3 linked regions of the Stegostoma tigrinum genome follow. The protein of the gene in region 2 binds, or shares a complex with, the protein of the main gene of each other region. Links are inferred from orthologs where the notes say so. Each region holds a gene or a part of one and is shown on either strand. Other genes may lie near its edges. The genes, in order: CLOCK-interacting pacemaker-like, clocka and basic helix-loop-helix ARNT-like protein 1.

What was found.
Region 1: the proteins of clocka (region 2) and CLOCK-interacting pacemaker-like are in contact, whole or in part, in a crystal structure (PDB 5VJI), measured with the Mus musculus proteins. The link is inferred for Stegostoma tigrinum from reciprocal best matches to the Homo sapiens genes CLOCK and CIPC. Residues at the interface, in NP_001276755.1 of Mus musculus: Gln519, Leu526, Lys527, Leu530, Arg533, Ile537, Asn540, Ile541, Arg543, Gln544, Glu547, Leu548, Ile551, Gln554, Leu555, Val558; in XP_006515773.1 of Mus musculus: Asn401, Thr402, Val405, Leu406, Ser409, Leu411, Ile414, Thr415, Thr418, Leu421, Ile422, Asn425, Thr428, Gln429, Leu432, Leu435, Lys436, Thr439, Gln440, Phe442, Ile443, Thr446.
Region 3: the proteins of clocka (region 2) and basic helix-loop-helix ARNT-like protein 1 are in contact, whole or in part, in a crystal structure (PDB 4F3L), measured with the Mus musculus proteins. The link is inferred for Stegostoma tigrinum from reciprocal best matches to the Homo sapiens genes CLOCK and BMAL1. Residues at the interface, in NP_001276755.1 of Mus musculus: Arg46, Gln49, Phe50, Leu53, Ile54, Glu56, Leu57, Met60, Leu61, Pro62, Lys70, Ser71, Leu74, Gln75, Ser77, Ile78, Phe80, Leu81, Arg82, His84, Lys85, Thr88, Glu95, Ile96, Gln98, Asp99, Trp100, Pro102, Phe104, Leu105; in XP_030097882.1 of Mus musculus: Lys70, Met71, Phe74, Ile75, Glu77, Leu78, Ser80, Leu81, Val82, Asp93, Leu95, Leu98, Arg99, Ala101, Val102, His104, Met105, Lys106, Leu108, Arg109, Gly110, Ala118, Tyr120, Lys121, Pro122, Phe124, Leu125, Asp127, Asp128, Glu129.

What each region holds. Positions count from the first base shown.
Region 1 is NC_081392.1:9,123,440-9,131,019, forward strand, and holds the start of CLOCK-interacting pacemaker-like, read left to right. Parts: upstream 1-4,553; 5' UTR 4,554-4,632; intron 4,633-7,580.
Region 2 is NC_081354.1:108,804,521-108,811,528, reverse strand, and holds the start of clocka (circadian locomoter output cycles protein kaput), read left to right. Parts: upstream 1-3,960; 5' UTR 3,961-4,424; intron 4,425-7,008. UniProt on the Homo sapiens protein: Transcriptional activator which forms a core component of the circadian clock.
Region 3 is NC_081370.1:38,028,597-38,035,736, forward strand, and holds the start of basic helix-loop-helix ARNT-like protein 1, read left to right. Parts: upstream 1-4,126; 5' UTR 4,127-4,329; coding exon 4,330-4,357; intron 4,358-7,140. UniProt on the Homo sapiens protein: Transcriptional activator which forms a core component of the circadian clock.

The sequences.
Region 1 (7,580 bases), on a different chromosome or scaffold from region 2:
GTTGCCTCAAGATCTTATATGTTTCAATGAGGTCACCTCTCATTCTTAACTCCAATAGATTTATGCCCCACCTGTCCAAACTTCCTTCCCTGAATTCAGGAAGAGATGTGAAGGGAACTGGCCAAAGGGGAGTTCAGGATAGAGGTACTACTGACAGAGGTGGGGGTGGGAAGACAATGTATTTATTAATGGATGAGGACGGAGGCAAGGAATCTTGCAGTGATCCCCAAAGACTGTCCACCATCTACTAGGCACAAGTCAGGAGTGTGACGGAATACTCCCCAATTGCCTGGATGAGTGTAGCTCCAACAACTTGAGAAGCTTGGCACCGTCCAGGACAAAGCAGCCCGTTTTATTGGCATCACATCCTTCCCTCCATCACTGACACCCAATACCACTTACAAGATGCAGTGGAGAAATTTGCCAAAAATCCTTAGCACCTCCCTAACCAACAATCACTTCCATCTGGAAGGACAAGGGCAGCATATACATGGGAACACCACTGCAAGGAAAATAAACAGGAACAAAAACAAAGTTGGTGGAAAAGCTCAGAGCTAACAAAGTGTGGGGCTGGATGAACACAGCAGGCCAAGCAGCATCTTAGGAGCACAAAAGCTGACGTTTCGGGCCTAGACCCTTCATGAGAACTGAAGGAAAATACCTGCCAAACTGCAACCACCCTGACTTGGAAATATATTTCTGTCCTTTTGCCATCTGTGGCTCAAAATCCTGGAATTCCCTCCTTAAGGGCATTGTGAGTCTACCTAGAGCACAGTTCAAGATGTCAACTCACCACTGACTTCTCAAGGGCATCTAAGGATGGGCAGTAAATACTGGCCCAGTCTGTGATTTTCTGCATTCCACAAGTGAATTAGAAAGATTGACTATGTACAAAGTATGGGGAAAAAGGGTGGGGGAGGTTCTCCCAGAGAGTCAACCGAGACACGATGGGCCAAGTGGCCTCCTTTAGTGCTGTAGCTGTTCTAGGTTGAATAAAAATCAGTGACCCACATAGCAGATAATTCCAAGTGAATGAGCAATGGACAGGAATATAATGTGCAGTTAACCCTGTTTTAAAAATAAAAGGTTAGAACAGTCAATGGGATTCTAACTATCTGACGAGGCCTCTATAAATACACGTGGCTTCAAACAATCAGGGCTTTTGAGATGCACCATTGGGCAGGCGATAGTGCAACTATGCTGAATAGTATTTTTTTGGGATTACAGAGGAAGCTTGCATAAGCGCTCAGACTGCTGGAGGCCAGGGTTGGCTTTCCAAACTTATTAGCCATGTGAATAGGAGGAGGCATATTTGAGACTACTGGGGTCACGGATGTGGAGTTTGTGGAAAATGTTTTCAGGGGCCATGCTGAAGGGATCATTGTCACTGACGGTCCCTCACAGACGAGGATGACTCTAAGGGTGAGTCCGGAGGTGGCTGTACAGACCAATGGGGCTCCCGCAGGATCTTTCACACTTGGGGTCAGAAGCTGGTCGTGGCATGGGGTAGAGAATGTGGGAATCCCATGGGGTGTGTAGGGTGTTGTTGTGGCAGCTTGGTCCTTGGTCCAGCTGGCTTCCATTTTCTCCAACAACAAATCTCGAGATGCTTGACGCCTTCCTGGATGCACCTCCTTCACTTTGGACAGTCTTGGGCCAGGGATTCGCAGGTGTCTGTGGGAATGCTGCATTTAGCTGGTGAGGATAAGGGGCTGTCTATGCACCTGAATTTGGAGATACACAGGGATCTTATATGGAAGTTGAGGCCTCAGCAATTTGCAACATCTATAATGTGTATTAAAGCTGGTGTTGGGAGGGGGGTAAAATGTTTTGAATTGATGCAACTAAACAGGATGGTGAGTATGCGAGTGAAGGTGTATAGGCTACTGTTAAGGGATAGTGACCTGCACTCAAATCCCACTTGCTTCAGAGGTGTGTGTGAACAGTTGATGACAAATGTTTAAAATATGAAGGAGTATGTACGTTCCCTAGGTTTACAGCGGGACCAGTAATCTGCTCAGTTGCTGAAACCTCACCAACAGATACCTAACCTTTAGTCTTCTGTGTTCAAAGCTTTGGAATTCCTGCCTTTAGCCAGAAAAGAGGTTCTGCTAAGCACGAATGAACAGCAAGGGATTAAACTAATAAGTGTTACCACACAGGCAATAATTTTTGGATTACTGCCTGACCAACAAGCAAATTGGCATCCAATAATTAAAATCTGAGAGCTGAATGCAAGGATTGATGTGTAAGAAGTGTGTTTTGATGTATATCACTTTAGCACCAATGGGAAGAGCAAGAGTGGCCTTTAGCTGGGGTCTCTTGGCTCCCAACACTATAGTCACCTCTGTCAGAATGAGGAAGAGATGGAAATGTGAAATAAGATAGACAAAGAAGTAGATATAGGCCATTTAGCCCATCGAGCCTGCTCTGCCATTCAATGAGATTGTGAGGCACATTTACGGAGATAAAACTTTAGACTTTAAGATCTAGAAGTTTTCCTACCTTTTGGCTATTTTTTGTGACCAAGATGGGGCCAGAGCAAACACTGTACATTTTTTACTATACTCCTATACTCAAGTATGTGACAATTAAATCTAATTCTAAACTCCACTTTCTTGCCTTTTCCCCATAGCTCTTGATTCCTTTACCATTTACATATTTATCAATCTCATTCTCCTCCGAAAAGGGGGAAGTGATGGCCTAGTGGTATTATTACTGTGCTGTTAATCCAGAAACCCAGATAATGTTCTGGGGACCCAGGATTGAATCTTTCCACGGCAGATGGTGAAATTTGAATTCAATAAATATCTGGAATTAAGAATCTAATGATGGCTGTGAATCCATTGCTGAAAAACATATCTGGTTCACTACATAAAAACCAAAAAAACTGTGGATACTGTAAATCAGGAAGGGTCACCGGACCCGAAACGTTAACTCTGTTTTCTCCTTCACAGATGCTGCCAGACCTGCTGAGCTTTTCCAGCAAATTTGTGTTTGTTTCTGGTTCACTAATGTCCTTTATGGAAGGAACTGCCATCCTTACCTGCTCTGACCCACATGTGCCTCCAGACCTACAGCAATGCAGTTGATTATTAACTGCAATTATGGATGGGCAATAAATGCTGCAGAGCTGGCGATGCCCTCATCCTGTAAATGAATAAAGGGAAAAAAGTTCTGAATAAATTTTCTAATCAACCTAGTCAAAGTTAATGTTACACACTCAAACTTAAACCTTCTGGTTCACATGTCCAGTACTCAAGAGCCTTAATCTTAATAAATGGTCAGAATTCACACCATACCAGGGCATAGTCCAAAGAAAACACAAGCTTTTGGAGTCTTATTCCTTCTTTCCAAATGGACCTGTCGGACTATAACCTGGTGTGGCATGATTTCTGGGCTTGACCATTCCTTTCCAACACTGGCACCTCCACGTCATTAATAAATAGGAGAGCAGAATCCAGGGACCTACTTCTAACTTGTTATTAGATTAGATTAACAGTGTGAAAACAGGCCCTTCGGCCCAACAAGTCCATGCTACCCCTTGAAGCATCCCACCCAGACCCATTCCCCTATAACCCACACACCCCGAGCACTACAGGCAATTTAGCATGGCCGGTCCACCTAGCCTGCACATTTTTGGACTGTGGGAGGAAACCCATGCAGACACGGGGAGAGTGTGCAAACTCCACACAGGCAGTTGCCTGAGGCTGGGATTGAACCCAGGTCCCTGGCGCTGTGAGGCTGCAGTGCTAACTACTGAGCCACCGTGCCACCCTATGTTCGGTTTCCAACTCGGTAACCAATCTGTTGCCCAATATGACCACCACTATGGCCTCAAAATAAAGGGAAAGCAAAGGAAAATAAAGGGACTGAGGTCAGGAGGAACTTCTTCACAAAAGGGTTGTGAATCTGTGGAATTCCCAGCCCAGTGAAGCCATTGAACCTCGCTGAACGTTTTTAAGGCAAGGTTAGATAAATTTTTGAACTGTAAACGAATTAAGGGTTATGGTGGGTGGGCGGTTAAGTGGAGCTGAGTCTCAAAAAGATCAGCGTTGACCTTATTAAATGGCGGGGCAGGCTCGAGGGGCCGGACGGCCTACTCCTAGTTCTTATGTTCCGATTGGAGGTTCTACACTGATTTGCCCCCTTTGCACAGTGTTCGCATGTGGGACCTGGTGCAACTAGGTACTGAAGTACAGCTATTCCTGTAGGGCCCTGCCGGTTGCATTGCTCGGTTTGCACGGCTGCCTGCGCAGGGTCGCATGCACCAACTGCTGCGTCTTTCCACGTGGCCTCTTGCTCACGTTGCAAGGCCTCGGGGGAGAGCGGCGCGTGCGGACGCCTGGCCGGGGTCGCCATGGAGACGGCCTGTCAATCACGCCGCGCTCACGAGGCCGCGCACGGGGCGGCGGAGGGGAGCGCAACCTAACTCGCCGGGCGGGGGCGGGAACCGGAGGGCGGTCCCGCCTCCTTGGATTGGTGGAGAGGGACGGAGGACTTCACTCTCCATTGGTCGGAGCCGTTGTCATTCAGTGAGGTAGCCCGTTGTGGGGTGGGGTCGGGAGAATCTGCTGCAGGTTTGGGTGAGAAGCGGTGGAGGCGACCGGGACGATCGAGGGGGTGGAGAAGGTAGGAATAGCCTCCATCCCCCGTGACTGGGGAGGGGGTGGATTAAAACATTGGGGTCCGGAGGATAAACATCTTCCACCCCCCCCCCCAACGTCGGGCACAGAGACCGGGGAACGACCGGTATCTCGGGGTGGGGGAGGAGACAGAGATCGGAAGGCGGAGTACACCCCCCGCCCCTTGCCCGGGAGTGAGGGGGTAGAGAATGTGGGGATAGAGAATGAGGAGGTAGAGAATGAGGGGGTAGAGAAAGTGGGGATAGAGAATGAGGAGGTAGAGAATGAGGGGGTAGAGAAAGTGGGGATAGAGAATGAGGAGGTAGAGAATGAGGGGGTAGAGAAAGTGGGGATCCCATCGGGGGGTGTAGTGAGGGGGTAGAGAATGTGGGGATCTCATCGGGGGGGGTTTAGTGAGGGGGTAGAGAATGTGGGGATCCCATTGGGGGGTGTGTAGTGAGGGGGTGGAGAATGAAGGGGTAGAGAATGTGGGGGTAGAGAATGAGCGGGTAGAGAATGTGGGGATCCCATCGGGGGGTGTAGTGAGGGGGTAGAGAATGTGGGGATCTCATCGGGGGGAGGTGTAGTGAGGGGGTAGAGAATGTGGGGATCCCATCGGGGGGGTGTAGTGAGGGGGTAGAGAATGTGGGGATCTCATCGGGGGAGGTGTAGTGAGGGGTAGAGAATGTGGGGATCCCATCGGGGGGGTGTAGTGAGGGGGTAGGGAATGTGGGGATCCCATTGGGGGGGTGTAGTGAGGGGGTAGAGAATGTGGGGGTAGAGAATGAGGAGGTAGAGAATGTGGGGGTAGAGAATGAGGGGGTAGAGGATGTGGGGATCTCATCGGGGGGAGGTGTAGTGAGGGGGTAGAGAATGTGGGGATCCCATCGGGGGTTGTAGTGAGGGGGTAGAGAATGTGGGGGTAGAGAATGTGGGGGTAGAGAATGTGGGGATCCCATCGGGGGGGGGTGTAGTGAGGGGGTAGAGAATGTGGGGATCTCATCGGCGGGAGGCGTAGTGAGGGGGTAGAGAATGTGGGGATCCCATCGGAGGGAGGTGTAGTGAGGGTGTAGAGAATGTGGGGGTAGAGAATGTGGGGATCTCATCGGGGTTGGTGTAGTGAGGGGGTAGAGAATGTGGGGATCCCATGGGGGGGAGTGAGGGGGTAGAGAATGTGGGGATCCCATGGCAGGAATGAGGGGGTAGAGAATTTGGGCATAGAGAATGTGGGGATCCCATCGGGAGGGTGTAGTGAGGGGTGGAGAATGAAGGGGTAGAGAATGTGGGGGTAGAGAATGTGGGGATCTCATCGGGGGAGGAGTAGTGAGGGGGTAGAGAATGTGGGGATCCCATCAGGGGAGGTGTAGTGAGGGGGTAGAGAATGTGGGGATCCCATCGGGGGTGGTGTAGTGAGGGGGTAGAGAATGAGGAGGTAGAGAATGTGGGGGTAGAGAATGAGGGGGTAGAGAATGTGGGGATCTCATCGGGGGGAGGTGTAGTGAGGGGGTAGAGAATGTGGGGATCCCATCGGGGAGAGGTGTAGTGAGGGGTTAGAGAATGTGGGGATCCCATCAGGGGTTGTAATGAGGGGGTAGAGAATGTGGGGGTAGAGAATGTGGGGATCCCATCGGGGAGAGGTATAGTGAGGGGGTAGAGAATGTGGGGATCCCATCGGGGGGGGTGTAGTGAGGGGGTAGAGAATGTGGGGATCTCATCGGCGGGAGGCGTAGTGAGGGGGTAGAGAATGTGGGGATCTCATCGGGGTAGGTGTAGTGAGGGGGTAGAGAATCTGGGGGTAGAGAATGTGGGGATCCCATGGGGGGGGAGTGAGGGGGTAGAGAATGTGGGGATCCCATGGCAGGAATGAGGGGGTAGCGAATGTGGGCATAGAGAATGTGGGGATCCCATTGGGGGGATGTGTAGTGAGGGGGTAGAGAATGTGGGGAGCCCATGGCGGGGAGTGAGGGGGTAGAGAATGTGGGGATCCGTTGGGGGGAATGAGGGGTAAAGAATGTGGGAATCCCATCGGGGGGGAATGAGGGGTAGACAATGTGGGGATCCAATGGGGCGGGGTGTAGTGAGGGGGTAGAGAATGTGGGGATCCCATGGTGGGGAATGAGGGAGTAGAGAATGTGGGGATCCCATGGTGGTGGGAGTGAGGGGGTAGAGAATGTGGGGATCCAATGTGGGGGAGTGAGGGGGTAGAGAATGTTGGGATCCCAAGGTGGTGGTAGTGAGGGGGTGGAGAATGTGGGGATCCCATGGCAGGGAGTGGAGGGGTAGAGAATTTGGGGATCCCATTGGTGGGGGGAGTGAGGGGGTAGAGAATGTGGGGATCCCAAGGTGCAGGGAGTGAGGGGGTAGAGAATGTGGGGATCTCATGGGGATGTGGAATTGATGGTGTGGAGAATGTGGGGATCTCATGGGGGTGTGGAACTGATGGTGGAGAGAATGTGGGGATCTCATGGTGGTGTGGAATTGATGGTGTAGAGAATGTGACGGTCTCATGGGGATGTGGAATTGATGGTGTAGAGAATGTGAGGGTCTCATGGGGATGTGGAATTGATGGTGTAGATAATGTGGGGATCTCATGGGGGTGTGGAATTGATGGTGTAGAGAATGTGGGGATCTCATGGGGGTGTGGAATTGATGGTGTAGAGAATGTGGGGATCTCATGGTGGTGTGGAATTGAATGTGGGGATCTCATGGGGGTGTGGAATTGATGTTGTAGAGAATGTGGGGATCTCATGGTGGTGTGGAATTGATGGTGTAGAGAATGTGACGGTCTCATGGGGATGTGGAATTGATGGTGTAGGGAATGTGAGGGTCTCATGGGGATGTGGAATTGATGGTGTAGATAATGTGGGGATCTCATGGGGGTGTGGAATTGATAGTGTAGAGAATGTGGGGATCTCATGGTGGTGTGGAATTGATGGTGTAGGGAATGTGACGGTC
Region 2 (7,008 bases):
TCCAGGCCACCTGACTTGAATGCTGCAACTTTCCCCCCCACAGTGGTCGAGCCGCAACTTTCCCCCCACAGTGGTTGATAATGCCCTTAACCACATCTCCCGCATTTCCCGCAACACATCCTGCACACCCCGCCCCCGCCACAACCGCCCTAAGAGGATCCCCCTTGTTCTCACACACCACCCCACCAACCTCCGGATACAATGCATCATCCTCCGACACTTCCGCCATCTACAATCCGACCCCACCACCCAAGACATTTTTCCATCGCCACCCTTGTCTGCTTTCCGGAGAGACCACTCTCTCCGTGACTCCCTTGTTCACTCCACACTGCCCTCCAACCCCACCACACCCAGCACCTTCCCCTGCAACCGCAGGAAACGCTACACTTGCCCTCACACCTCCTCCCTCACCCCTATCCCAGGCCCCAAGATGACTTTCCATATTAAGTAGAGGTTCACCTGCACATCTGCCAATATGGTATACTGTATCCATTGTACCGGGTGTGGCTTTCTTTGGGGAAACCAAGCAGAGGCTTGGGGACCGCTTTGCAGAACACCTCCACTCGGTTCGCAATAAACAACTGCACCTCCCAGTCGCGAACCATTTCAATTCCCCCTCCCATTCTTCAGATGACATGTCCATCATGGCCCGAAGGTTGCAGGAACAGCAATTCATATCCTGCTTGGGAACCCTGTAGCCCAATGGAATCAATGTGGACTTCACCAGCTTCAAAATCTCCCCTTCCCCCACTGCATCCCAAAACCAGCCCAGTTCGTCCCCTCCCCCCACAGCACCACACAACCAGCCCAGCTCTTCCCCTCCACCCACTGCATCCCAAAACCAGCCCAGCCTGTCTCTGCCTCCCTAACCTGTTCTTCCTCTCACCCATCCCTTCCTCCCACCCCAAGGGGCACCTCCATTTCCTACCTACTAACCTCATCCCACCTCATTGACCTGTCCATCTTCCCTGGACTGACCTATCCCCTCCCTACCTATACTCTCCTCTCCACCTATCTTCTTTTCTCTCCATCTTCGGTCCGCCTCCCCCTCTCTCCCTATTTATTCCAGAACCCTCACCCCACCCCCCTCTCTGATGAAGGGTCTAGGCCCGAAACGTCAGCTCTTGTGCTCCTGAGATGCTGCTTGGCCTGCTGTGGTCATCCAGCTTCACACTTTATTATCCTGAATGCTGCATGTCTGGTTTTTGATAGGGAGTGGATTTCCTGGTTCATCCAAGGTTTACAGTTCTGAAACACTTGGATTGACTTCTTTGATGCTAATGAAGTCTATGATTGGTAGTGGCATACTTGTCTAGGTTTTCCGTTGAACACTTGAAAATACTCCAGTTCACGAGTCCAAGCAGTCCCGGAGACGGTCTTCCGCTGCCTCAGGCCAACTCTGTACTTCACTTCATGAAGGATTCTCCCATTTCAGCTTATGCCTGCAAGCTGGGAGGAGGAATACGGCATTGTGGTTGGATTTTTTGAACTGTAGGTGGGGGATTGAGCAGTAGGTGTCTTTGATGGTTGTGCAGCAGTGGTCCAGAATATTTGGTCCTCTGGTGTGGCAGGAGATGTGTTAGATTTTGGCATTGCCTGCTTGAGGTTGGTTTAATTGAAGTCGCCACCCATCATTCCTCTGGGAATTTTGTCTCCAGAGTGTTTGTGGCAGTGTAAATCCTCTATCCATGCTAATACATTACCCTGTGATGCCATGCACCTTTATCTTATGCAGCAGCATTTTGTGCATGGACTTGTTTTTGAAATGTGTTTGCTTGATCTCATACACTGGCTTACAAGGTGACCACTTGTAGCAGAAACAGAGTGTCCACTCCATTGGTTCTTGATCCTTTCACCAAAGGGAAAAGTTTCTCCTCATCTGCTTTGTCGAAATGTCTCAGGATTTTGAATACCTCTATCAAACTCCTCAAAGCATTCACTGCTCCAAAACTGGCAATTTCCTCAATATATATGAAACTGAAAAATCTTACTCTTGGGACCATTCTTGCACATCTTTTCTGTACTCTCTTCAACACTTTCACATTCTTCTTGAAGTTTGGTGCTAATGCTTCAGTTGTGGGTGCAGCAATGTTTTATTCAGCTTAACAAAACACCTTCATTTTTGTACTAGGAAAAGGGCCCAGATGTATATTTTATTAATGGTTCTCTCAACCTTAAATGACGCGCGCAAATTTACATTCAGATCCTTCTGCTCCTGGCCTTTCTTTAGAATTGTACCCGATATTGTCAATTGTCTTTCTGCATTCTTCCAACTGGAATGAATCACTTCACCCTTCTCTTCATTAAATTTCATCTGTCACTTGTCTCATTCCACAATCTTGTTTATATCATTTTGAAGTTCTACACTACCCCTCCTTCACAATTCATATTAAATCCAAGTTTTACATCATCCATTACCTGCTCCCTCCATCTCTCCTACCACGTTCAGTGGTCTGTGCAGGTCTCGATAAGGTCTCCCTGCTCTTGCATCCCCTTTGCCTTGAATCGAACTTAATGTTGTCTCCCAATCTTCTCCCAATGGAGGCCTCACCTGCCACCTAACTTGTCAATGGTCCTTTCGGAGTTCCACACTGTTTGCAATTTCTCAAAAGTTTAATGCCATCTGCAGACTTTGAGCTTGCACCCTGCACACTGAGATCCAGATCGTTGACATGTAGCAGTGGAGACAATGGTGACAATTAGGCCATAAGACACAGGAGTGGAAGTGAGGCCATTTGGCCCATCAAGTCGACTCCGCCATTTAAATCATGGCTGATGGGCATTTCAACACCACTGCCCTGCACTCTCCCCGTAGCCCTTGATTCCTTTTGAGATCAAGAATTTGTCGATCTCTGCCTTGAAGGCATCCAACGTCCCGGCGTCCACTGCACTCTGCGGCAATGAATTCCATAAGCCCACCTCTCTCTGGCTGAAGAAATGTCATCTCATTTCAGTTTTAAATTTACCCCCTTTAATTTTAAGGCTGTGCCCACGGGTCCTAGTCTCCCCGCCTAACGGAAACAACTTCCTAGTGTCCACCCCTTCTAAACCATACATTATCTTGTAAGTTTCTATTAGATCTCCCCTCAACCTTCAAAACTCTCATGAGTACAATCCCAGGATCCTTAGCCGTTCATCATACGTTAAATCTACCATTCCAGGGATCATCCGTGTGAATCTCCGATGGACACGCTCCAGGGCATCATACGCTAAACCTACCATTCCAGGGATCATCCGTGTGAATCTTCGCTGTACACGCTCCAGGGCTAGTATGTCCTTACTGAGGTGTGGGGCCCAAAATTGGACACTATATTCTAAATGGGGCCTAACTAGAGCTTTATTAAGCCTCAGAAGCACATCGCTGCTTTTATATTCCAACCCTCTTGAGATAAACGACAATTGGGTCAGTGGGACTGTCTTGTGCAACAGTGGCTCCTCCTCTCCCACACGATCACAACAAATGGAGAGAATTGGGTCAGTGGGACTCTCCCAGTGAACCCGGCGCACGGGGCCTGCGCGAGGAGATAAACATTGAGCTCGAGCGGCGTTGGCAGTTATTGCAGAGAGGAAGGTATTCACGGCTGATGGATAACCTGGTAAATTAAATCATGTAAATTATTACGGACGCTTAAATCTCAGTTTCAGATATCTTCCTGCAATCAGAGAGAAAATCAGGTAATTTCCCGCGGCGGTATTACATCGTTACGTAAGTGTTGGATGAAAATTATTTTCCTCTATACAAAAAGTAGTACGCAGTAGGCTTTTAGTTTAAAAAATATTTTAAAAACTGCGTTTTACAAATTGTAGTTCACTTCTGCTTTAGTGGGCATCAATACTTATGATTTTATTTCGAGGATAGCACGCTCTTGTATCTATGTTTTTTAAAAAAACAAGAAGCGGTGTAATTTAGTGCAGCCCCGCAGACACGGTGTTGAGTGGCTGCCTGTCACCGTCGGCGACGCTGCAGAGTCGCGGGCTCGGATTGAACGTCTGATTCCTAACCAAATAAAAATCGAAAGGACTGCGGATGTTGGAAATCGGAGACAAGCGGCGGGGGAAGGGCAATAACAAAAAAAATCCGAAACTGCCGGAGAATTAGCAGGTCTGGCGGTATTCTGAGGAGTGAAATCAGAGCAGAACTGGAGTGCTCTCCACCTATCCTATTCGCCTCCCCCTTTATTTCAGAGCCCCCCCCCCCCCCACCCGTTTTCTGAGGAAGGGCCCAGACACGAAAAGTCAGCTTTCCTGCTCCTGTGCTGCTTGGCCTGCTGTGTTCATCCAGCTCTACACCTTGTTATCTCTGATTCCCTACGGAGCCAGGGCAACCGGCTTCATTCATTCGAGTGAGGAAGAGAAGAGGAGGGATGGAGACGGAGGGTATAGACTGAATCTGTTGGTGGGGAGGAGAGAGAAATGAAGTAAAGGTGACTGAACGGCGTGTGGAATCCTTTCATTCAACTGTGAGGATTTTATTTCAGTGTCTGGTCCTCTGGTACTTGCCTGATGTCGGGCTCTCCGCCGACTGCCTATTTGTGTGTCCTGTTGTTGAAGCGCCACACAGCGCATGTGTATTCTGATTTTTGTTGGGGTAGGTGTTTGACTATTGTTTTTCGGTCTTCTATTCGCTGCTTATGAAATGGACATTTTTTTCGTAGCAGTAGTATTAATTTTTTTAAAAGAACATTCAGATGTCTAAAGGTTTCGTGACCGACTTAGCAATAAATTACATGCATCCATCCATACAAAACAACAAATGTATTTTTTCAGTTTTGTACCATTGATTTTTAAGCTTCCCCAGCTGCAAAGAGCTTAATGACACTGATATAACAAAAGCATTGTCAAATGTTTTGCACTGATTTTTTTTAAGAGGACAGTCACTCAAGGATGGGGACAGCATTTATTGCTGCCGTATTCTTTAAGCAGTGATGGTTTGACCGGCATTCAAGAGCCTTCGTAGTCCACGCAGTCACCCCATCCCAGGCCCCAAGGTGACTTTCCATGTTAAGCCGATGTGCAGGCGAACATCTGCCAATGTGGTATATTGTATCCGTTGTACACGGTGTGGCTACCTCTACATTGGGGAAACCAAGTGGAGGCTTGGGGACCGCTTTGCAGAACACCTCTGCTCGGTTCGCAACAAACAACTGCACCTCCCAGTCGCAAACCATTTTAACTCCCCCCTCCCATTCCTTAGACGACATGTCCATCCTGCAGTGCCACAGCGATGCCACCCGAAGGTTGCAGGAGCAGCAACTCATATTCCGCTTGGGAACCCTGCAGCCCAATGGTATCAATGTGGACTTCACCAGCTTCAAAATCTCTCCTTCCCCCACTGCATCCCAAAACCAGCCCAGCTCGTCCCCTCCCCCCACTGCATTCCAAAACCAGCCCGGCTTGTCCCTGCCTCCCTAACCTGTTCTTTCTCCCACCTATCCCTTCCTCCCACCTCAAGCCACACCTCCATTTCCTACCTACTAACCTCATCCCGCCTCCTTGACCTATCCGTCCTCCCTGGACTGACTTATCCCTTCCCTACCTCTTCACCTGTACTCTCCTCTCCACCTATCTTCTTTTCTCTCCCGTCTTCGGTCCACCTCTTCACCCCCCCCCCCCCCCGGTCCCTATTTATTTCAGAACCCTCTCTCCATCTCCCCCCTATTTATTTCAGAACCCTCTCCCCATGCCCCCCCCCACCCCGGCCTAGGCCCGAAACGTCAGCTTTTGTGCTCCTGAGATGCTGCTTGGCCTGCTGTGTTCATCCAGCTTCACACTTTGTTGTCTTGGATTCTCCAGCATCTGCAGTTCCCATTATCTCTGAAAGACATTCACAGTGCTGTTAGGAAGGGTGTAAAGTTCTAGGTTTGGATTGTTTGGAGGGCAATATGCAGAGTAGTGTTCCATCATATCTGTTGCCCTTGTCTCTGGTTTGAAAGGTGCTGTCAAAGGGGTTTGCTAGTTGTTACAGCACATTTTACATAAAATGGACCTAAACTGAGTACACACTTATACGCTCAGAGATAATGGGAACTGCAGATGCTGGAGATTCCAAGATAATAAAATGTGAGGCTGGACGAACACAGCAGGCCAAGCAGCATCTCAGGAGCACAAAAGCTGACGTTTCGGGCCTAGACCCTTCATCAGAGAGGGGGATGGGGGGAGGGAACTGGAATAAATAGGGAGAGAGGGGGAGGCGGACCGAAGATGGAGAGTAAAGAAGATAGGTGGAGAGAGTGTAGGTGGGGAGGTAGGGAGGGGATAGGTCAGTCCAGGGAAGACGGACAGGTCAAGGAGGTGGGATGAGGTTAGTAGGTAGCGGGGGGTGCGGCTTGGGGTGGGAGGAAGGGATGGGTGAGAGGAAGAACCGGTTAGGGAGGCAGAGACAGGTTGGACTGGTTTTGGGATGCAGTGGTTGGGGGGGAAGAGCTGGGCTGGTTGTGTGGTGCAGTGGGGGGAGGGGACGAACTGGGCTGGTTGAGGGATGCAGTAGGGGAAGGGGAGATTTTGAAACTGGTGAAGTCCACATTGATACCATATGGCTGCAGGGTTCCCAGGCGGAATATGAGTTGCTGTTCCTGCAACCTTCGGGTGGCATCATTGTGGCAGTGCAGGAGGCCCATGATGGACATGTCATCAAGAGAATGGGAGGGGGAGTGGAAATGGTTTGCGACTGGGAGGTGCAGTTGTTTTTTGCTTGGACATGGACATCAGTTACAAGCTGGTTGAAATGGACATCAGTTACAAGCTGGTTGCCTGAGATTAGCTTGTAACTGATGTCCATTTCAAGCCCACCGACTCCCACAGCTACCTAGAATACACCTCCTCCCACCCACCCTCCTGCAAAAATTCCATCCCCTATTCCCAATTCCTCCGCCTCCGCCGCATCTGCTCCCACGACAAGACATTCCACTCCCGCACATCCCAGATGTCCAAGTTCTTAAAGGACCGCAACTTTCCCCCCACGGTGATCGAGAACGCCCTTGACCGCGTCTCCCGCATTTCCCGCGACAC
Region 3 (7,140 bases), on a different chromosome or scaffold from region 2:
CATGGCAGATCTTGGACATCAACTCCACTTTCCCATTCACTCCACAGATCCCTGGATTCTGAGAGATTTATATTTATTGTTTTCTTTTTGATTATAGCAGAACGACTTTCCCATTGCTAAAATTTACTGTAACTTTCCTTTGTGTTTTTTATTCTTTCTTTTAAACACTAATCACCACCAGTAACTGCACGTGTAGTTAATTAAATATTTATATGCAAAGCCCATTATGGACAATGTGAACGATCAAAAGTGAGGGAGAGAGGGAAGGTGCTAAGAGATTTGCCATTATTTAACATCTTTCTTGACTTCAGGGAATTCTAAGGCACTTTACAGCTGATGAAGTATTTTTATAGCCATTGTTATATCATGTGATTTGTGTGCAGCCCCCTCCCACAAACAGCGTTGTTATAATGATGAGAGAGTTTTGGTGAATTTGGTAAAGGGAAGAGTATTGCCTTCCTAAATTCTTACTGGACTAACGTCCTGAATCTTTTGCATTCAACAAGAATGTTGCTTTAAAGCATATCCTGTAATGATTGGGACCTTAAAGTGAGTATTCCTTCAGTACTGCACTGGGAATGTTACTGTCTTTTGAATGGAGTTGGACCCACAGTTTTCTAATTCAAAGCTAAGAGTGTTATTCGTTTAGCTGCAGCTGATCTGCAGGATTGATGAGCCTCGATTTGAATTGTGTAAACCCAAAACATAAATGTTTCCTGCATCTCTGCTGCCTGACCTGCTGTATTCCTTCAGCTCCACGCAGTGTTGAGTCCTGAAAGATGTTGCAGCTTCCTGCTCCAGTTTGTTTTGTTAAGAAGTTGAATGATATAGTGTGGTGAGGGAAATCGTAGTGCCAGATGAATTGACATAAAAGTTATCTCTAAGATATTTGTATTAATATTATGCATTAACATTGCCAACCCTCAGTACTGTTTTCCAGTGATGCCCATTGCTTCCATTTTGCCGAGCAATTTCTTATCCATTTTTCTGGTTTTCCTGAGTATTCATATTTATGAAGGCAGTGAATAATTTGAATTCTGGATGTGTGGGCAAGTTTGATGTGGGAGTCGGAATGTCATTCTGAAGAAAAAAAGCTGCACGTTAAGTTCAAAGATGAGCTGCATTTGATATTTTCAGGGAAATGCTTGTAAGCTGAGAAATGTTCCCATTAGTTATGATGTTTGATGTCAGCCATGGCTCAGGAGGTTACCACCACCCCCCCCCCCCCCGGCTCCTGAGTCGATAGGTCACTCCCCGGAGATTTATGAATACAAACATCTTGCACATTTGTACTGACAGAATGCAGCGCTTTTGGAGGTTTCATCTTTAAGAGGACACTCGCGGCCTCTGCCTCTCGGGTGGGGGAATAAATTCCATGGCATGTTTCCAGGAGCCGCATGAGCATGCTCCCTGTTGTCCTGACCAATAGTTTAACACTCAAGCAGTGCTTACAAATGCAGAAGGCTGATTATCACAGTGCTTTTTGTAGAAACTTGCTGTGTGCAAATTGACTTCTGTATTTCCTACATTGCAACATTTCTGTCATAAATACAAATTTGAAAAACTGGGCTCCAAGGATTGGGGAAATTCTGTTCCACCATGGACTTTAATTTGCAAATGTCCTGTGGTTGTTAGGATTAGGCACTATCTCTCTCCCTAGTTACTGCCCCACTTATTTGACTCCTGTACCTACTTGTGAAAGCACTGATTAGTCGTTGATTTTTTTCCAATATGTAATAATCTGAGAACTGCTGAATGTCTTTCCTTTGCTTGCAGCGCATGTCTACATCATGAAAGCTTGCGCACATCACAAGGTAGTTGTTAAAAGTGAATGAGATTAAGCATAGACTTTACATTTCTTTAGGTATTTCACGCTTCCAGTATTATCTGCAATCATCTTGCTTCCCTTTTAACAGAGCTTCTTTGAAATTGTTGCTCATAGGAACAGCATGAAGTTGTCCAGCCCCCAAAGCTGTTCTATTGTCCAATTGCATAAGAGCCTCTCCTGTAAGCTTCATTTATTCTTATCCAACAAAATCTAACTGTCTCTGTTTTGACATTATGAATGGACCCCCACCAGGCCCAGCACCCTTTAGAGGTGAATTCTGAGTTTCTACTGCCCCTATTTTTTATTCTTTTGAAGTGAATCCTCCTGCTTCACCTCTAAATGAACTGGTTTAAGTTTTAAGGTGATGCCCCCTTGGCCTGAATTTTCCCCCAGCAAAGGAAATAGGTTTGTAAAGGAAAACCATCAATTTCTTCCAGTATCTGAAACATCTGAAGTACAGCTGTATTGATTTTCTCTGGTCAAGGGAATTCAGACCTGGCCTATTGTCATAATTTAGTATCATTCTGATGAATCAGTGCTCCTTCCCGGGCAAATGGATTCATTCTGAAGTACAGTGCTTCTAATGGAATCTACACTGAGTTCTCTCTAAATTCCATCATAATGTCAACATTTGTATTTCAGGCCCTTGGAGACAAGAAACAAAATTGATGAAAATGTCATTTTTTGTACTACTCTGAAACATTTAATGATTTCTGTGCACCCCAAATCTCACTGTTCTCCAAGTCTTCACTAAGTTACTGTATCAAATATTTTCATAAATGCTGCCTCCAAAAGGTTACTCGCCAGCCTTTTCTAACCATTTTTTTCCAGATAGACTTGAACTCTTAATTCTGGTAATATGTTTGTATAACTTTAGTTTTGCAACTTCCCTGGGGCCTGTTAATCTAATTTTATAATGCAGAGGTCTCTGCATAGTACTCTACATGTGATCTAACAAAGTCTTGATGCCAGCTTAACACATCTTCTCTGCTTTTTAGTTGTCTTCTTGGAAATGAACCTCAGTGCTTTGTTTCCTTTTTCCATGGGCCCCCTTATCCTGCTTTGCTACTTTTACTGATTCTTTTTTTCTTGTGTATCTAGACTGAACTGTGTCATAGGGCTCTGTCCTTGGGCCTCTACTGTTTGTAATTTTTATTAATGACTTGGACGAGGGAATTGAAGGATGGGTCAGCAAGTTTGCAGACGACACAAAGGTCGGAGGTGTCGTTGACAGTGTAGAGGGCTGTTGTAGGCTGCAGCGGGACATTGACAGGATGCAGAGATGGGCTGAGAGGTGGCAGATGGAGTTCAACCTGGATAAATGCGAGGTGATGCATTTTGGAAGGTCGAATTTGAAAGCTGAGTACAGGATTAAGGATAGGATTCTTGGCAGCGTGGAGGAACAGAGGGATCTTGGTGTGCAGATACATAGATCCCTTAAAATGGCCACCCAAGTGGACAGGGTTGTTAAGAAAGCATATGGTGTTTAGGCTTTCATTAACAGGGGGATTGAGTTTAAGAGTCGTGAGATCTTGTTGCAGCTCTATAAAACTTTGGTTAGACCGCACTTGGAATACTGCGTCCAGTTCTGGTCGCCCTATTATAGGAAAGATGTGGATGCTTTGGAGAGGGTTCAGAAGAGGTTTACCAGGATGCTGCCTGGACTGGAGGGCTTATCTTATGAAGAGAGGTTGACTGAGCTCGGTCTCTTTTCATTGGAGAAAAGGAGGAGGAGAGGGGACCTAATTGAGGTATACAAGATAATGAGAGGCATAGATAGAGTTGATAGCCAGAGACTATTTCCCAGAGCAGAAATGGCTAGCACGAGGGGTCATAGTTTTAAGCTGGTTGGTGGAAAGTATAGAGGGGATGTCAGAGGCAGGTTCTTTACGCAGAGAGTTGTGAGAGCATGGAATGCATTGCCAGCAGCAGTTGTGGAAGCAAGGTGATTGGGGTCATTTAAGAGACTGCTGGACATGTATATGGTTACAGAAATTTGAGGGTGCATACATGAGGATCAATGGTCGGCACAACATTGTGGGCTGAAGGGCCTGTTCTGTGCTGTACTGTTCTATGTTCTATGTTCTATATCTTTGAGTGTAACATCACCTGTCAAAGCTCATTGTGTGAGACAAGGGTTAATTTAGCAGTGATGGTGGCACTGATTCTTTCCTGAGCAGCTGATTCATCTGACCTACTTTAGGACTGACCTTGATTTATTGCTCAGTAGAGGTGTTAGCCCCACGATATAATCAGCTTTGGTGTATGATTAAGCCAGTCATGTGACTGCTCCTTCAACAATCGAGCGATGAGAAAATCAGGCCTTGCTGCGTGAGTTCCCTTTTGCAAGTCTGCTGAAGGTTTGATTGCTGTGTGAATTAGCAGAAAGAGAAGGGACAGCCTATGAGATAAACTGTAGCGTTTCCACGGCACCACAGTTGGCATTTGCTCAGATTTCACAAAAGAAGTCGCCTGTATGGCATGTATTCAGACGGCCTTTAATGTATCTTGGCAACACAAATGGCTCTGGTAATTAGTTTTTTTTAAACTTCCTCCAAGCTCCCTGGCATATTGTTATTCAGAATCCATATTGAGTGTGTATAGCTTATGCAAGAACTTTTGAGTACTGCCGTAGTAATACCATAAACTTAGTGTACGAAGCTGTCCTGAAACATGCGTTGACATCATAAATACAGGTGTTTGATTCAATTGCTATGAGGTTAACTTGAACCATAACAATGCGCATATGTGAATGCTGAAAATATGAAGTTTAATCATTCTTTCAACAACATTTTTCTTGGGATGTGTGTGGATGGTATGTCCAGCATTTATTGCTCCTCCTCAGTTATCCCTAGTGGTGATAACTGCTGCCTTGAACCATTGCAGTCCATGGAGTGAAGGTGCTCGAATAGTAGATAACAAAGTGTGGAGCTGGATGAACACAGCAGGCCAAGCAGAATCTTAGGAGCACAAAAGCTGATGTTTTGGGCCTAGACCCTTCTTCAGAAAAGGTGCTCGAATAGTATTGCCTGACAGAGAGTTCGATGATTTTGACTTTGCAATGATGAAAGAGCAGCAATACACAGCAAAGCCACAATGGTGTGTGACTTGGTATTCCCATATATTTGCTGGTCTTGTCTCTCCAGGTTGTGGAGGTCATGGTTTTGGGGGAACCTGTAAAATCTATACGTCTAACTATGGTTTTATGGTCTGTTTCTGAGTTCACTTCCTTTGCAGTAATAAAGTGTAGTTTTTTTCCAAATATCATTAACTGTTGCATTATATGAACAGCCAACTTCTTTTTCTTTGTAATCAACTATCCTCTTGAATGAGACAAGTAATTTCTTCAGCCAGAGGCTGGTAAATCCATGGAACCCATTTTAGCAGAACACTGTTGAGGACAGGTCATTGAGTGTATTAAAGACGACAGATAGGTTCTTGATCAGTAAGGGGATCAAAAGTTATGGAAAGGAGGCCGGAGAATGGAGTAGAGACACATCAGCCACGATTGAATGTTGGAGCAGATTCAGTGGGCTAAATGGCCTAATTCTGCTCCAATATCTAATGGTCTTATGCATGTCAGCTCTCTTTTTGTCTTATTTTCCCTTCACTTCTGAGCCAGTTGTTCTATGTGCAAACAGCTTTTGTTGTTTTTTATCTTCTCCTTTGGTTGATATTCTCACTGTCAAACTCTGATTGGATTCCCCATTGCACTTGTCGACTAGAACTTGGTTGATTATCTCTTGGCAAGAGATGAATTTCCCAGAAATCTTCTGGAAAAGGAGGATAAGAATGGTGTTTGTCGTTACATCCGTCATCCAGCTGTGCAAAGTAGTCCACACGTCCCTCCCTCCAGTCTGGTTAGATATGGTGGATTAACCTCTGTTGGTGCCCACCTTCTTGGACCAGTTCTGATTGATACTTATTGTTCAATCTGGGGAGAACAGTACCTGTTTTCAAAGTCTGCAGCATTATAATCAGTTGTAGGACATCCTCTTAAAATGAATAGTTGTTTCCCCGCATAGTGAGGGAACTTCCTGTGTAGTAGGTTAACAATAATGTAGTCTTGGTGAAATTCACAAATCACCAGAATTTCCCAGTTTAATCTTCAGGATAGAAATGTGAGCCACCTCGTAGAAAAAATAACCAGAGGGACAATAAATTTATAGTGGAGGGTGTTGAGGGGACAATCGGGCATAGGAGGAAGAGGGACGAAGGATTCTGAATAAGGTAACGAAATATCTGTTTATTTTGGCTGGCGAGACATAGTACTGCCAAGGTGTGCATGTTGGGTAACTAGTCATGAAAGCTCCAAGAATGGACCCAACCAGACTTTGGTTCAAACAACCTTTTCTATCCTTGCACTCCAACACTGGCCCCTTCCATCAGGTATGAGCCATGTCAAGTTACGTTGAAATCTGGACTAATGATATTGACAATGCAATTTCAGATCCCACCATAGTATTCTGAGAATTAAATTCAATTAAAACAATAATCAGGATATTTTTTAAAAAACTGGCCAGTCAAAGTGTGCATGGACTATTGTAAAAACGTAACTGGTTTATTAAAGGCCTTTAGAACGGAAGGGAACTTGTCATTCTTGCCTTTCTTGGTGTATATGTGACCCCAGTTCAACACTATGGCAGTCCACTCTAGTTGAATGTATTTCAAGAAGCTTAAGCACACGCCCTTTTGCCCCCCCAGTTGCCTTGCCTACAAACTCTAATTCCACACTAACTGCCCTCTGAAATGGTTTGGCAAACCACAGTCATATGCCAACCATGCCAGGGACACCTACATGCTGAGAATGAACCAACAAAATGTTTTGTGCTGCTGTCCTTCATTATTAAAATGGTATCCAGAAGCCTTCAATCTGAATATACTAATTTTCCACAAATTGTCTAATCACTGATTCTGTCCTCACCCTGGTATCTACATGAGGTTTGACCAAGCATTTATGTAGGCTTGGTATCTTGCATGACCCCTAGCTGAGAATTCAGTTTACTATCTCAACAACACCAATGATAATTAGCTTAGAGTTACAGTCATACAGCATGGACACCGACTCTTCATTCCGACCAGTCCGTGGCGACTATAATCTCAAATAAATTTGTCCCATCTGCTTGTGCTTGGTCCATATCCCTCCAAACCTTTCCTATTCATGTACTTATCCAAATGCCTTTTAAGTACTGTGTAACTGAACTCGCATCCATCACTTCGTCTGGAAGCTCATTCCACACGTGAACTATTCTCTGCATTTTTAAAAACAAAAGTTGCCCCTTGTGTCATCTTTAAATCTTCCTCCACTCACC